Arabidopsis thaliana: one gene and its partner. Changing the gene in region 2 together with the main gene of any one other region gives a genetic interaction. Each region holds a gene or a part of one and is shown on either strand. Other genes may lie near its edges.

Evidence for each region.
Region 1: of FMO1 (region 2) and ESD4, changing one suppresses a phenotype caused by changing the other (phenotypic suppression), as found in Arabidopsis thaliana (one study listed by BioGRID).

The regions. Positions count from the first base shown.
Region 1 is NC_003075.7:9,010,780-9,018,063, reverse strand, and holds ESD4 (Cysteine proteinases superfamily protein), read right to left. Parts: upstream 5,495-7,284; 5' UTR 5,296-5,494; coding exon 4,546-5,295; intron 4,245-4,545; coding exon 4,168-4,244; intron 4,088-4,167; coding exon 3,994-4,087; intron 3,910-3,993; coding exon 3,811-3,909; intron 3,515-3,810; coding exon 3,425-3,514; intron 3,327-3,424; coding exon 3,207-3,326; intron 2,979-3,206; coding exon of another isoform or gene 2,973-2,978; exon of another isoform or gene 2,960-2,972; coding exon 2,856-2,959; intron 2,564-2,855; coding exon 2,491-2,563; intron 2,330-2,490; coding exon 2,267-2,329; 3' UTR 1,885-2,266; downstream 1-1,884. Other genes in the region: AT4G15890 (binding protein), read right to left, coding at 1-611; AT4G15885 (kinesin motor protein-like protein), read left to right, coding at 1,086-1,178, 1,308-1,373, 1,431-1,613; TS1 (terpene synthase 1), read left to right, coding at 7,117-7,284. UniProt on the Arabidopsis thaliana protein: Protease that catalyzes two essential functions in the SUMO pathway: processing of full-length SUMOs to their mature forms and deconjugation of SUMO from targeted proteins. Cleaves precursors of SUM1 and SUM2, but not of SUM3 or SUM5.
Region 2 is NC_003070.9:6,648,448-6,656,338, reverse strand, and holds FMO1 (flavin-dependent monooxygenase 1), read left to right. Parts: upstream 1-3,143; 5' UTR 3,144-3,285; coding exon 3,286-3,741; intron 3,742-3,957; coding exon 3,958-4,198; intron 4,199-4,497; coding exon 4,498-4,676; intron 4,677-4,762; coding exon 4,763-5,112; intron 5,113-5,316; coding exon 5,317-5,683; 3' UTR 5,684-5,863; downstream 5,864-7,891. Other genes in the region: AT1G19240 (uncharacterized protein), read left to right, coding at 5,955-6,136, 6,645-6,777; AT1G19230 (Riboflavin synthase-like superfamily protein), read right to left, coding at 7,190-7,299, 7,500-7,578, 7,660-7,788, 7,881-7,891.

The sequences.
Region 1 (7,284 bases), on a different chromosome or scaffold from region 2:
AAAACTCCAGAGTGCTCCAACGCCAATAAAGGAATCTCACTCACAGTTTGTACCAAAGATTTCAAACTATCAGGAAATCTATCTAAATGAACAAAACTCAGAACCGAGCCAAGCTTCTCTAACACTATAAACATCAATTTCGCATCAAATCCACCTTCTTCAGTCTCTTCCCCATCTTCATACCCTAAATTCCTCTTACCACGTCCTCTCTTCTTCTTATTCCCTTTCTCTCGCTGCGAATTACTCCCTTGACCGGCGGAATCATCACGGCGTTTGAGGTAGCGGCGAATTGAGCCAAGTAGAGAAAGAAACGCAATCGGAGAGAAGAAAGTGAAAACGGGGCAATTCGTGGAAAGAAGCAGACTGAGATAAGCGTCGGAGGCTAAAATAGCAAGACGGCCTGATTCAACCGGAGAATCCATGGCGGCGGAGATACAGCGGAGAAACGAAGAAGCCATTGAGGAGAGACTACCGTAGAATCGATTGAGAATTTCATCATCGTCTGTATCAAGTAGAGATTTGAGATCCGTGACGAGTTCATGATAGTCAGATTCATCGTCTCCTCCTTCGATTCCTGCAAGGATTCTAGTGAGCAGAAGCTCTTCATCCATGGCGATTCTCTACTGATAGAGAGAGAATTTTGGATTTCACAGAAATTCAGGTGAAAAGGTTTCAAATCATTTTGGATTTCCCGCGATCTGTTCGTTCTTATTAGAATTCAAAGTGGGACTTAGAAAAAGGTTTGGGGCTAATTTAGCATTTCCACAAAGAGCAGAGTCCTCAGTGGGTAATATGATGTATACGAAACAATTTTGGGATTTTAATGAAACAAACCCTGCAGTTTTGGCTGATTCATTTTAAAACCTTCAACTTAAGTTTTAATAGAAATACCTCTCATCTCAGAAAGTCTAATGAAAAACCAGACACTATACTATACTAGTCAAAGGATTCACTTAACATTTAAGGAATATGATTTATGCTTAACATTTTAAAATCTTCTTTTGGCGGCTCCACTAGTCAAAGGATTCACTCATCTTATTCTCAAGACTGATGTCCCTGCCATGACAAATTCTAGACAACAAAATATGGCTAGCAGTCAGAACACAAGCGATACATCTTCAAGGCAGTATGAAACAACGGAGCCTTCTCTTGATGAAAACATTGATGCATTGCTTGAGGTAAAGAGCCATTTGACCCTTCTATACTTCTAAATTATGCTATGAGCGTGAGGGAATTTTATGAATATCGCTCACGAATAACCTTAGAAAACCTGTAATATGGTAATTATTTTGTTTAAACTCTGGCAGGAAGAAGAGACCTTAATTACAGCACACAGAAAAGAGATCGAGGATACAATGGAAATAGTTCACGAGGTTATGGCTCATATGTCTTGTGATTGTTTTAACATTATTTCATGTTTTTTTTTGTAGGAAATGAAATTACTAGCGAAGGTGGATCGGCCAGGGAGCATGATTGACAACTATGTTACACAGCTGAGCTTTGTGTTGTCCCGTAAAGCAGCTGGTCTTGTAAGTCTTCAAGCCCGTCTTGCTCGGTTCCAACACCGTCTGAAAGAACAGGAGATACTTAGCCGGAAGAGAGTTCCGCGCTAGGAAAGGCAGTGGAAGTTAGTTTGCCTTCCAGTCAGTTTTTGTTAGGAGATACACACAAGTCTTCCTTCCTCTCGTGTTTTATGAATTGGGGAATTTGTTTTTGTTTTTGGGAGTGGGTTTTAATATGTCAATGTTACATTTGGGATTTTGTTTTTTCTGTGTCCTTGTCAACATTTGTACTCACAAACAGCAGTTTGTTGTATATTTGTAACATATTCGTGTATGTATTGGGGAAATTGTGCAGAACATTTGTATATCGAAAACATTTGCTTTCAAGAGATTATTCATGGAATTTTGGCTATTGAACAGAGGAAAATATATCGAACCGATACTAGATGGAAACTTTAAATTGCGTTCGCACTGGTCAAGACCGGAGAGAAATAAATAAGGTTTTCAACATCTCATATATCTTCAGCTAGACTAACCAACATAGAGATCCAAAACGCTTCATCTACATTTTAAAACAAGAAGAAGGAAAAAAATACAATAACGGAACGAGCTAAGAGCTCTGGGCTTGACTCAGTTTTTACCTCTGCTTTTAAAGCCGAGTGCTTCACTGCCTAAAAGGAGTGGGATTTAAAGTTTGAACAAATCAACAATGGCAACCAAAAATAGTATTCCTAATAGCCGAAAAAACATTAGCACAAGCAACTTCAATCAGCTCGTAGCCTCAGAATCTCTTTAGCTGTTCTGAGTCGGAAGTATGGCATGTGTTCCTGCAAAGTAATACAATGTTATTACGCTAAATGCCTAAATCCTACAAGTTACATAAACTGCTAGGGGGATATACTAATTCCATATTGTTTCAAGACAACCAGTTTTTATTCTCAACTACAGTTTCTTGAGGCATTCAGAGATTTGGATTCTGATAGCTTACCTGGCTGAAACATAGCCCCAGGCCTCTGCTGAAAAAATCGATGTACTTAAGCATAAACATTCCACAGTCATACCTGAGAATATAAAAGATTGCAACAAAGAAACAATATAGAGTTAGCAGAGAGCTTAACCAGAGTGCTAAAGAGCATAAGAACAGTTAAGTTATACCCTTGTTGATTCCATTATCAAAATTTATATCAGGTGAATTTCTCCTAATCAATCTCAAACCAGATCTATCCTTTGTCTTAAAAACCCATATTCCCACATCAGAAGACAAGTATCTGATTCTACAGAGGTTATCTCTTTAACAAGATAGTTCCTTTCACATGATCATGGATCATAGCAAGTTCAAGCATAGTTACATACCCATTCTTTTGTTGGGGAAGGTCTTCCACAAATTCCATGTCCCACGAATTAGCATCAATCTTTTTTCCACTTTTTTCATTTGCTTCATCACCCATGTATTTTGCCTGAAGCAGAATATCAGATCTGGCATTAGCTATAACGACTAGTATATATGGTTAGAACACTTTCACAGTAGTGTCCGATTTAAAAAGCAATAACAGCTTCTGGCATCTCCATAATGTCTCCAAACAGATTTCAGAATCAAGAAATGATGATAAAGATTTATCAGCATCTAATATCTTTTAATGCATCCAACATGTCAGTTATTAATAGACTAAATAAAGCGAATAAGAGTTAGAAATTAAATCATACCAGAGCATTCAGAATCATAGGATCAACTCCATTCAGTGAATCAAGATACAAGAGCTTGCTTTCCCTGTTGTTAATTACTGCCAAGGTCCAATGCACACCCCTGTGGATGGGAACAAATATCTGCAGAGGGCACAGACTAAGTTAAACATAAATAAATTGGACTACATGCGTAATATTAACAAGAGAATCTTCAAATTCAGGTTCTTCGACAAAATTACCATGTCACAGTCAATAAGAGCATATCCCAACTTTCTCTGCGTAGTCCATCTCCTGACAGCTTTAAAATTATAACCAGAATCGCTTACCAGCTGAAAAAAATAATTAAAGAAAGACAGATTTAAGTGCCAGAGGATTCATCAACGTATAAGAAGGCCACAGCTTGTCTTGGTTACTCACTGCCATTCATGGGATACAGAAGCCAGAGACAACTGAGTACCATGGGGAGAAACAAGGCCAAATATATCAATAATCTTATCATAAAGATCACTTAAACATACTGCTTATCATTTTTATGGAAGCAAGTAGCAGCTACTCAGTCGAACTGACATGAGGCAAAAAGGATCAAATTTTTGTTAAAAATCATCTGAGCAGAAAGAAAACAAACCTTTTTGTAGAAAAAGGTATTGAAGTAGTGACACTTCAAATACTTTTTGGGCTCTCTAGTTTCTCTTTCTTTGAGTAGTTCAAGGTAGACATTGATAACCTATAAAACAGAACAAGAAATCAGCAAAAGAAAATGTGATTTAAGAGCTCTTAATTGTGTAGAATATTATGGAACAAGTTGTACCTCGTCGTTTAGCCATGCAGATGGTGTAAGGCATTGCAGAACTTCTCCAGTAATATCAATGTTTGAGTTTTCATGAGTAGCCAAGACCTTCCTTCTGAAAAATGGGAGACATTTGGTTTTTGGTTAGACTAAAAAAAATCACTCAACATGCTAGAGCGTCTTAAGAAACCATACCTATTTCTCCCAGAAAAGGCACGGTAGACTTCAGCCTCTTCATCTTCTGTGAGAGGAATAAAAGGTTCACGAGGCACCTTCATTATATCAACAACACAACAAACATAGTGTTAACAACAACAATAAACATAGAAACACACTAACGATCTCAACGCTAAGATTACAATATACTCTAATAAGTAGAAGAACTTTGACTCTGTGTGCATAAGTAATAACTGCAGCTTAATAACCAATAAAGCCAACAAGTATTGTACTATCTTCAGTCTACACTAACAAACAGTAGGCGATAACATCATATGCATTTTAGAGAAACAATCCAAACAAAGCAATGTCATTAATTATATCCAATTCAAGAAAGATTAGTATAAATCTCATCACCTCAACACGCTTTTCCACAGTCTTTGGGCGAGACTGACGCAGCAGTGACAACTTCTTCTCATTCAACACAATCTCAAAACCCAAAGCTTCCAACTTTGAATTCCTCTTCTCCGCACTTTGCATAAGCTTTCTATAAGCTTCGAGGCTCGAAGCATCATTATCGACATCTCTATCTAACGACAACGAATCCAGCATCATACTAGTATCCTCAACTCTAAAGTTCTCCCCTTTCTTAACATCAGTAACACCAGAAGAAAACGAAGGCTGAAGATTCTTCTTCTCCTCATCATCATCACAATCAATAACTTCAATTGCTTGAACACTTGAATCATCAGAAACAACTTCCTCCTTTTCAACCTCATCACCCAAATCAACAAAGTCTTTACCTTTATTAACGAATCTCAAAGCTTCCAAAGCTGATCTCTTTGCATCATCATACTTACGAACAAAGAAATTTGCGTCCTTTTCGCAGTAATCATTAGATTTTGCCTTTCCATATCTAAGAATTCCTCTACTAGGAGCATGAATCTCTCGTCTAAGAGGAGCTTTAGCATCAGGGTACCTTGAAATCCTCGAAATTGTTGGGTTTGAAGACGCTGGCTTACCAGAATCTTCAGACATAGCGAATGAGAATCTTCGTTTCTTGGAAGCTTGGAAATACGGTGAATTTCGTAAAGGGTTGGTTGATTGTTGATTAATGAAATTGAAGGATTCGTCGCTGCGTTTACGATTGATCGCTACGGCACCCATTAGGGTACGAATTTGGATGAACCACTAAACCCTAGAGATTGAGTAATCAATGAGATGAGAACCATTCGAGAGACACCTAGAACATGAAATTAGGGTTCTGTAGAAGAAAAGAAAGCTCAAAGATGAATGATTTGATTTTTTCTCTTTCCTTTTAAATTTGGGGGTTTTCTCCAAAAATAATATTTGAAAGAAAAAAAATTGTGGTTTTATACTTAACTAAACTATAAAATTTATGAAAATCAAATTAAAATTTTTTCATAACAATTAAAGTATGGTGGGATCATGATATAAATATTCTCCTTACCAAAATAAATAAATAAATAAATATATATATAAATATTCTTGGTACTACTCTTCAGTCTTTGGTGGTATACGATATTGGATGTTGAAGCTATCACACTCATCTATGGACATGTCAATCGGAAAAGAAATAATGTGGCAGATGCACTATCCCAACAAGCCTTTGTTATATAGGTTCTTTGTATCAAACATATACAACACCACCATATGTTTACAATTTAATGCAACTAGTACTTGTTAACAAAAAAAAAAGAATTTTGATTAATGGTTATGGTTTTCTTTGTTTTTGAAGTGGCTTTTGGTTTAAATTTTTTCACAATTTTGTTTAATAGCCACAACTTTTAGAAAGTTATTACATTTCAGTAATTGAGTTAACTGTATCTCAAGAAAATTATATCTTTCGGAAAATTATGTAGACGCTAACTAACCTTTACAAAGACGCCTATGAGACTGCAAAAATTCTTGTCATATTTATTGATCAAACTAACGTAGAGTTTGACCAAGAGAAAAAGAAGTAAAAAACAACAACAATAGATATGGATGTTAACGTTGATTTTTAAATGATGGAGATTTGTTTGCACTTTTTTAGATGGAGATGGATCTTATTTTTGCCACTTGGAGGTTTTTTAAAAAATGAAAAACTAAACATGTTTTACAGTAAAACCTCTACAAATTAATTTTTGATAAATTAATAAATACAAGAAGATAATATTATATTAGTTTCAAGTCGTGTGAATGTAAAATTTAACATAATTTGATAAAATAATAAGTTAACAATTTTTTAAAACCCTATATAAAAAATATGATTTTAATAACATCATAAATTAATAACCACAAAAATATAATATATATACGATAATATATATAATCTATAGTTTAAATATTTTTTGAACTATTGAATGTTTGTTAGAGTTTGTCTTGAACTATTATTACATCAAACAATGATTTTGTCTCTAATTTTCATTAAATTATGTTGTGTTTTAAAACTATCATATTGTAGTATCGTTTATAACTTCCTAATACAATTAGTCATAAGTTTTTATAAGTATACAACTTCTTAATCTGCATTATTTTCATTTCAATAGTCTACTACATTTAAAAATCTGATAGTTGAGGTTATTAATCATAAACTTAGATGTATGTATATCTATTATATAAATGAATTCAGTTATAGTCATTGTGATTTATTGTCAAATGAGTTTTTTGAAATATTAAATTTTCAATTCTAATACTACACAAATTTCAACATCCAAGTCATTAATTTGATGTATATTGAATTGTGTCAACTCGTATTCTTTAAAAAATTAAATAATTAAAAAAAGATCTATATAGATTAATAAATATCAATTTAAAGATAAACTAATATCACTATAAATTCAGAAAATATCATGGTCCCAACATAGATTGTATTATACACTGAAGAAGATAAATATGGGGATATTAATATACATTCTTCCAAAACTTTTCAAAAGATGACTTAATGAAAACGCTTATGTTTTGCCTATAAATTTGGTGGTGAAAATGTATTCCATATCACTAGTAGTAAACATGCAATGCATATCAGCTTATGGATCTATACTCTCTCTTCCTTTACGTTCCAATTTATTTTCGGTAAGAAAACTCTCTAGCTTTCCCCACAAGTCATTTTCAGGTCAGCATGGAAAGCTTGTTCGCATGAAGGCCACCCCT
Region 2 (7,891 bases):
AAAGGGAATGGTAAATATTAGAGGGGAAAATAGTAACATCAAATAAAAGTTTACCTTTGTTAAACTGTATATCGCTTTTTTCTCTCTCTCTCTCTCGATTATGATGGAGGGGCATATATAAGATGCTTAGGAGTTAGGACCACACCAAACATGCATGTAACAAAGACAAGAAGTAAGATTACGAAATATCAATCGTAAGAAAATTGATTCGTACCAAACAATTAAAATGGTACATTGTACATACTCTCTTCCTTTTTTATTTTCTCAAACCATATTCCTAACTTTCTCTCCTCTGTTTGAGTTCAAACTCCTCATTTTCTTTGTTACTTCCTCCTCTCTCTCTCGCTCTCTTTTTTTCTTAACGATCCTCCTCTTTTCACTATATTTGATCATTTTTGTATGACTATATATATATATATATACATAAGTATTCTATATAGCATAAATATACATATATCATGCTCATCATATTATTTGATATTCCTCAAATTTAAAGTGATTTGATACATAAACAACCTTGACTCAGTTAATCAACCAAATGATTGTATTACAGTAAATACAAAAAAAATCGACATTAGTTTTCTCATAAAATCTGATACTGACAATCTACCAAGTTAATTAAGTATATTTGTGACTTAGTCACTAGGCTTCATTTTTTTTGTGCTGTTACGTCTGACTTGAAGATTCTCCACATTCACGACTAACAAAAAATTGGCTTACTCGGTACACATGTTAAGATACCTAATTAAACATCATTTACTAACTGATTAGGGGTATGTCATGGTTGGATATAAAATTATTATAGATGTGTACGTATTTGAGTTAGTATAAATAACAGAAAATAAGGACAACTGGATTTTGTTTTTTTCGTATTTGCGAAATACATATATGCTAATAATACTAAAAAAACCATCGCAAGTGACAATATTATAGAAGAATGGTTGTTGGCAAAAAAAGGAAAGAAAAGAAAGAAGAATGGTCAACCCAACAAAAAAAAGGACTAGTCTTATTTTGGTTTATATATATGTGCAGAGTGTTGTGTGACAACATATCTTAAGTCAAGCTATATATTCTATTAATTTGAGAGAACAATTGTTCTTTTTTTTTAGAACATATTTTTATTCTAATGTGTGCATTAATGATGTTAAATAATTATTGTAACTGATGTTAAATTATAATTTTTGTATTATTAATAAATAAATGATTCAAATTAGTATCATTTAATTTTTTGACACAAATTATGTGATGCAATTGAATCTCTTTTTCTGTAATGGTAATAGCTATATTTTCTTAGATAATCCACATTATTATTATATTACCATCATGTATTTCCTTCTTAATTGAACTTACATTATAGTATCGCAGATATAAACTTATGATTTCTAAAAGTAAGGTGGTACAAAATCCTTACCGCTTTATGTATTACTACGTTGTCTTTAACAATTTCGTAATCTTACTGTTTTATATCTCTTTTTCTATCTTTTTAATATATATAGTATAACTAATAATACAATTGGACACAAATTTGATAAAAATAAAAATGTATAACATAAATTTAGTCGGAAAAATCCTTCGTCAATGTGTGCTTATACAATTCATAGTTTTGGGTGATAGTCAAATATAAGTGATAAGGCTACCTAGACTTTTTTCCATTGTTTTGAAATTCAACACTTGCATGGACACGTACTCGATTATTATTTTAATTCGCTTTTAGGGATAAAGATTTAGTCAAAAGTAAACTAGAGACAAAAAATAAAATAAATAAATAGAGATAGTAGTAGTTATAGTTCAAGAACCTGACAGAAATAACAGATTAAGAATAGACCAATAATGATTAATTAAAATACATTTATAAAGTCTATCCACCAAAGACCATATAAAGATTATACTTTTTTTCGTTTTGTTTTTTCTCGTTGATAAATTAAACTCAAGATCTTGTAATGTATGAGAATAGTAAGAGTAAGGGCTGCATATAGCAATTTACATGAATTAAAGGCGCTCTACTCGTATCACCATATACTTCTATGCTTTACAGTTTACCTAATTCACCATGAACTAACTATATATATCATAATTCCACCCAAACTATTAAATTCATCACACATAGAAAATTTCAATTCACCTCTGTACATGCTCTTCAACGGCTTGTTAATAAGGGATGGCTTCAATCCGGACCCGTTTCTTGTGCGGAAATCAAACCATAATCAAGATTGTCTTTGTCGACTATGTTAATTATTTTTTTAAGGATGTGTCTTATGTACATTGTAAAAATTATGATGTTCATTTTATTTGTCTTACTTCATTGCGGAGAACATTTCCTTTATTGATTAAAAACAATAATTATATTGTTCTTTCAAGACTTAAACGTTAGAAAGCTCTCGGAAAAACAAACATTTTCCCGTGTATTAAGCTGTACGTATATGATGTTATAATTATCTCAAGAAAGCATACATATTGATTGTAAATAAAAAGAGTAGACTAGAACACATGTGTTAAGTTGAGTTAGATTCGCTAATGAGCGATCAAATTGCTTACATACAGTCATCCGTTCTATCACGCACGATATTTCTCGATAAACAACTATCCATAAAATTTAGATGTCAGATAATTTTTGTAAGTAAATTCGCAATAAACATATATATATATATATATATATATATCAATTTTGTCACCGAGGACAATGGAATTTTCTCTCATTCTTATAATATTCTCAAATGATATTCGAGAGTACATTTTAAATAGGAAGGAGATTTCGATAACGATATTAATGGAACCAAGAATTTGTTTTAAACCTATTTTTGATATAAAAAAATCTATGCATTTGTATATAATACAGTTGGGTCAATTTATAGACTAAGAAGCTCTTAATTGTTCATATTCAAGAAGACAAAGCAAGTTAAAAACCTAATTTAACAAAAGAGAAAATATTCCATTAGACTTCTTGAAAGTACTTAGAAATTTAACACGAACAAATACACAAAGCGAATTTTTAATATATTTCTCACGCTTGCAGAAATTTCCTCACAATAACCACAAAATTTCTCAGCGATAAAAAAAAAACAGTTTAGATCTTTCAAACCTACTCGAAACTAAACTAATATTCAAAAGCACGTGCTCCCTAATAAAACTCATTCCTGACCCGACTACACAATACCCGACCCGACCCAAAAACATCTTATAAATATGTTCATGCAAACTCACAAACAACTCAAAACACTCTTCATCAAAACCATTCCTCTCCTCAAAACCATTAATCTCTCTTCTCTCTAGCATAACCTCTCTCAGATGGCTTCTAACTATGATAAGCTTACTTCTTCGAGAGTAGCCATCATCGGTGCTGGTGTTAGCGGATTAGCAGCCGCTAAGAACTTAGTTCATCACAACCCGACCGTATTCGAAGCCTCGGATTCAGTCGGAGGTGTTTGGAGGAGCTGCACTTACGAGACGACTAAATTACAATCGGCTCGAGTCGATTACGAGTTCTCCGACTTTCCATGGCCCAATAATAGAGATGACACAACTTTCCCACCTTACCTTGAGATATTAGATTACTTGGAATCTTATGCCAAACATTTTGATCTTCTCAAATTCATGAAGTTTGGCTCTAAGGTCATCGAAGTAAGGTTCATCGGTGATGGCGAAACTCCTCAGATGGTTGACCTTGGTGCTTACGGCAACTTGTTGCCCGGAAAACCTGTATGGGAAGTTGCTGTTCAGATCGGAGATTCTGGAGATATTCAGGTTTGTCTCAATTCTTTAATGCTAATTCAGTCTCATATATTTGCATATGCATGCATTTACACGAGCAAATGGTGCATACGCATATTTAAACTTACGTATCTCAATGTTTGTCTCGATTGTTTTTCGGTAACTTTGAAGCCTAAGCCGGATCTCAAACTGCCATATTACTGCATGCATCATTTATGAAATATTGTATATCAATGTTTTTGTGTGCAGTGGCATGCATTTGAGTTCGTGGTTGTGTGTACCGGGAAATACGGCGACGTTCCAAGAATACCAGCTTTTCCGGCAAAGAAAGGGCCGGAGATGTTTCAAGGAAAAGTAATGCATTCGATGGATTACTGCAAGTTAGAGAAAGAAGAAGCTTCTACTCTCCTCAGTGGCAAAAAAGTAGCCGTCATCGGCTTCAAGAAATCCGCCATTGATTTGGCTTTAGAGTCTGCTTTAGCTAATCAAGGTACATAGATATCTATGTCTATTTATATAAATTAGCTTCACTCTTAATAATTGGCTGATCAAGTCAAAATAAAGATAAAATATATATACTATATAGTGATAGCAATAATTGTCTTACTTACTAGTATATATTATTTCTTTTCGGTTGGACTTGGAACGTATATGGTTCTAGTTGGCAACAATTAAACAGTTACTCGCAAGTTAATTAAACAACATATTAAATATATATCCTAAGATGACCGATTTCGATCTTTATTTAATCTGATTCCCATAATTAAATATAATATTTAAATTTTGCAGGGGAAGGAGGAAAAGCTTGCACAATGGTGGTGAGAACAACTCATTGGGGGATCCCACATTATTGGGTGTGGGGCTTACCATTCTTCTTGTTCTACTCTTCGAGAGCTTCTCAGTTCCTCCATGATAGGCCTAACCAAAGCTTCCTTAGAACTCTCTTTTGCCTCCTCTTCTCTCTTCTGGTTAGTCATCTTATTACCTTTTTCACTTCTCTATATGCAAAAATCTTGAGAATTTTATAAGTTTCTTAACATATATGTGACAACAGCGTGCCGTAGTTTCCAAGTTCATCGAATCATATGTTTTATGGAAGCTACCTCTTGAGAAATATGGTCTAAAACCAAACCATTCTTTCGAGGAAGACTATGCTTCTTGTCAAATGGCGATCATACCGGAGAATTTCTTTGAGGAAGCGGATAAAGGGATGATCCGGTTTAAGAAATCATCAAAATGGTGGTTTTATGAAGAAGGGATTGTGTTTGAAGATGGGACGACATTAGAAGCTGATGTTGTGATACTTGCTACTGGTTATGATGGCAAGAAGAAGCTCAAAGCTATTGTTCCTGAACCTTTCCGAACTTGGCTTGAGTTTCCAAGCGGTGTCATGCCTTTATACAGGTACATACACATAAAAATCGTCTTTAGATTAATTGAAATTATGTGAAAATGCATTAGTTGCACACTTAAAAAGACGATCATGCTATAATATATAGTTCTATGACTATAAACATATTCAGTGGTACAAGTGGAAGCCTATATATTCTTTTATTAGTATACTCATGAAATTTGGACCGTTGCTTATACAAACTAAATCATTTACAGGGGAACAATCCATCCATTGATACCAAACATGGGTTTCGTAGGATACGTCCAAAGCAGCTCGAACTTACACACATCAGAGCTACGTTCAATGTGGCTAAGCCGGCTAGTGGATGAGAAATTCAGATTACCAAGCAAAGAGAAGATGTTGGATCAATTCTTAAAAGAAATGGAAGTGACGAGAAACTCAAGCAGATTCTACAAACGTCATTGCATTTCCACGTTCAGCATCCAACATGCTGATGATATGTGCAACGACATGGGACTCAATCCTTGGCGTAAATCCAACTTCCTCCTTGAAGCTTTTAGTCCTTATGGTTCTCAAGATTACCGACTCGGTCAAGAAGAAAAAGAAGATATGACTGCTTAAACTAAATTGAATATATATTACAAAATGAAATTGTTACGAATTGTTGTGTGATGGATGTATAATTAATGAATAAATAAATGTATGTGTAAAGTACATGATATTTTATATAATAATATTGTATTATTGTATGACCTTGGTCAAGGATTATTTTCAACTAGTAATTATGAAATTCCAATTTTGTCCTTTTGGTCAACGAGAAGTCAATTTAGCAATCGCTTCCTTCATGACTGGAATCATCATTGAACCCTAAACCCTAATTGATCGGCCAGAAATGGAGGGTTTGGAGAAGTTTTACAGCAAGATGGTGAAAGAAGCGAAATCGGCAGCTTCTTCTTCGTCGTCTTCTCTATCTGATTTTGCGGATAATCTGATGCAAGACAAACGAGCCGCCGCCGGCAACTTGACTACTACATACGACGCAGGATCCGGCACTCTGGTAACCAGACCTCCCAGGTAAGCTGCTTCTATTCAATATTTGTTCGAAAAGAGATCATTTTGCCAGTAAAGCTAAGAACTTTTAAGAATTTTGGGTGAGTGAGTGAGGGCATGTCTCCAATTTTTCAGATTCTCTCTAATTATGGGAAGGATGATAATAATAATCACTATTTCTGTGGATGGATTATGAATTGGTCTGCCTGCTTGAGAGAAATTTTAAAAAGATGGAACAAAAATGAAAAAGAGGGCAGATTTTGTGTTATAGCTCAAAACCTAGAGACCATGATGATTTCCCAGTTCCACATCACACAGAGCTTGTAAATTTGTAATGGCTTGTTCAAATGATCTAAGATCTTAGATACCCGAGGAACAAAACTGTGCAGGTCGATTATAGACTATCTAGTAGGAGCTTTGGGTTGTTTCTGATTGATTCGACTAATATGTAATGGCTTTACGTGTTTTGTGTACTATTAGTTCTAATTTAAGAAAATTATCTGACCTATCTTGGGACTGTGTTTGGTGGCAGCGGAGTTTCGGTCTGGACGTGTTCAAAGTTGTGCGCTGTTTTCTTTGTCGCTGGAGTGTTTGTGGGTTATACACTTAAGAGACGGGTTCGACGCTGGGCTTCTAAATTACTGAGAAGAATAAAGGATGATTAACTCCAACCTCGTCTTCTACTGCAAGTTTTGGTACACTTAGCACAAAGGCATTACTCTATTCTTATCCTTGAATGTGTTTTAGTACCAATATACTGTGCTGAGGCACCTTATCAATGAAAATTTGTTGTTTGCTTCTCTGCCTTTGTGACTAGTAGCTTGTGGTAATGGAAAGAGAGATTGAATCATCTTGGGAAAGACACGTATATTATTTCGTATAGTAACTTAGATTTGTTATTTTCATGCCTTTAGGCGGGGTCTATACAAACAGGCAAGACAATGTTTCCTTTTTTAACATAGTGTATATAATCTACTTTGCTAAGTGACTGTGAAGTTAGTGTGAAAAAAAATAATGGCGGGCTGGATTTGAATCTCACTTTAGGGAAAGTGATAGAAGCTGGCTTGTAACATTGAATTAGAAATGCTCCTTATGGAACTCGAACCGTGTGGTTGTTTTTTGACTCATGTCTTGTGCTTGCTTCTTCAACTCCTTTGCCACGGTTTGTATGCCGCAGTAAAACACTCCTGCACAATTATATAAATTGTTTTCACATATGCTTCGTAATACCTGGCCTAAATATTAGCAGACATGTTCATGTGTTTGCATGTGTCATAATTCCTATTGCAAGTTTTCTTTCTTTTCCAATGGTATTAATTCGTTAGTCCTAGAAGAGAGATTTATAAGATGTCTTGATGGTAAGCAGCTGATTGTATAGAATAATTACCGACTGTCGAATTTGGATGCTTTCTTGCTATGCTACTGAAGACTTCCTTCCAGTTGGGCCTTGCAAAATGTGTTCTCACCTGTTTGAATGATGTTATTTTGTCAGTTATAGGTAATATTGGCAAATAGTTTCTGGTTATATGCCCTGCATCAATTCTTACCCGTGTTCCGGATAGAATATCAACTCCATGTTTGGCATGGTTCAAAGCCTGGACCATTTTTATCAGGGTTGATCTTGCATCACCTTCATCATATACGCTTGTAAGGTAGTTGTGCAACTCAATCTGGCCCTGTATTACGAGAAGATGAAGGAATATGTTAGTATATCGATCAATGGTAAAGAGGTGATGCAAATGAATGATATGCTGGTGTTTAGTATTACTCTGCAGTCCA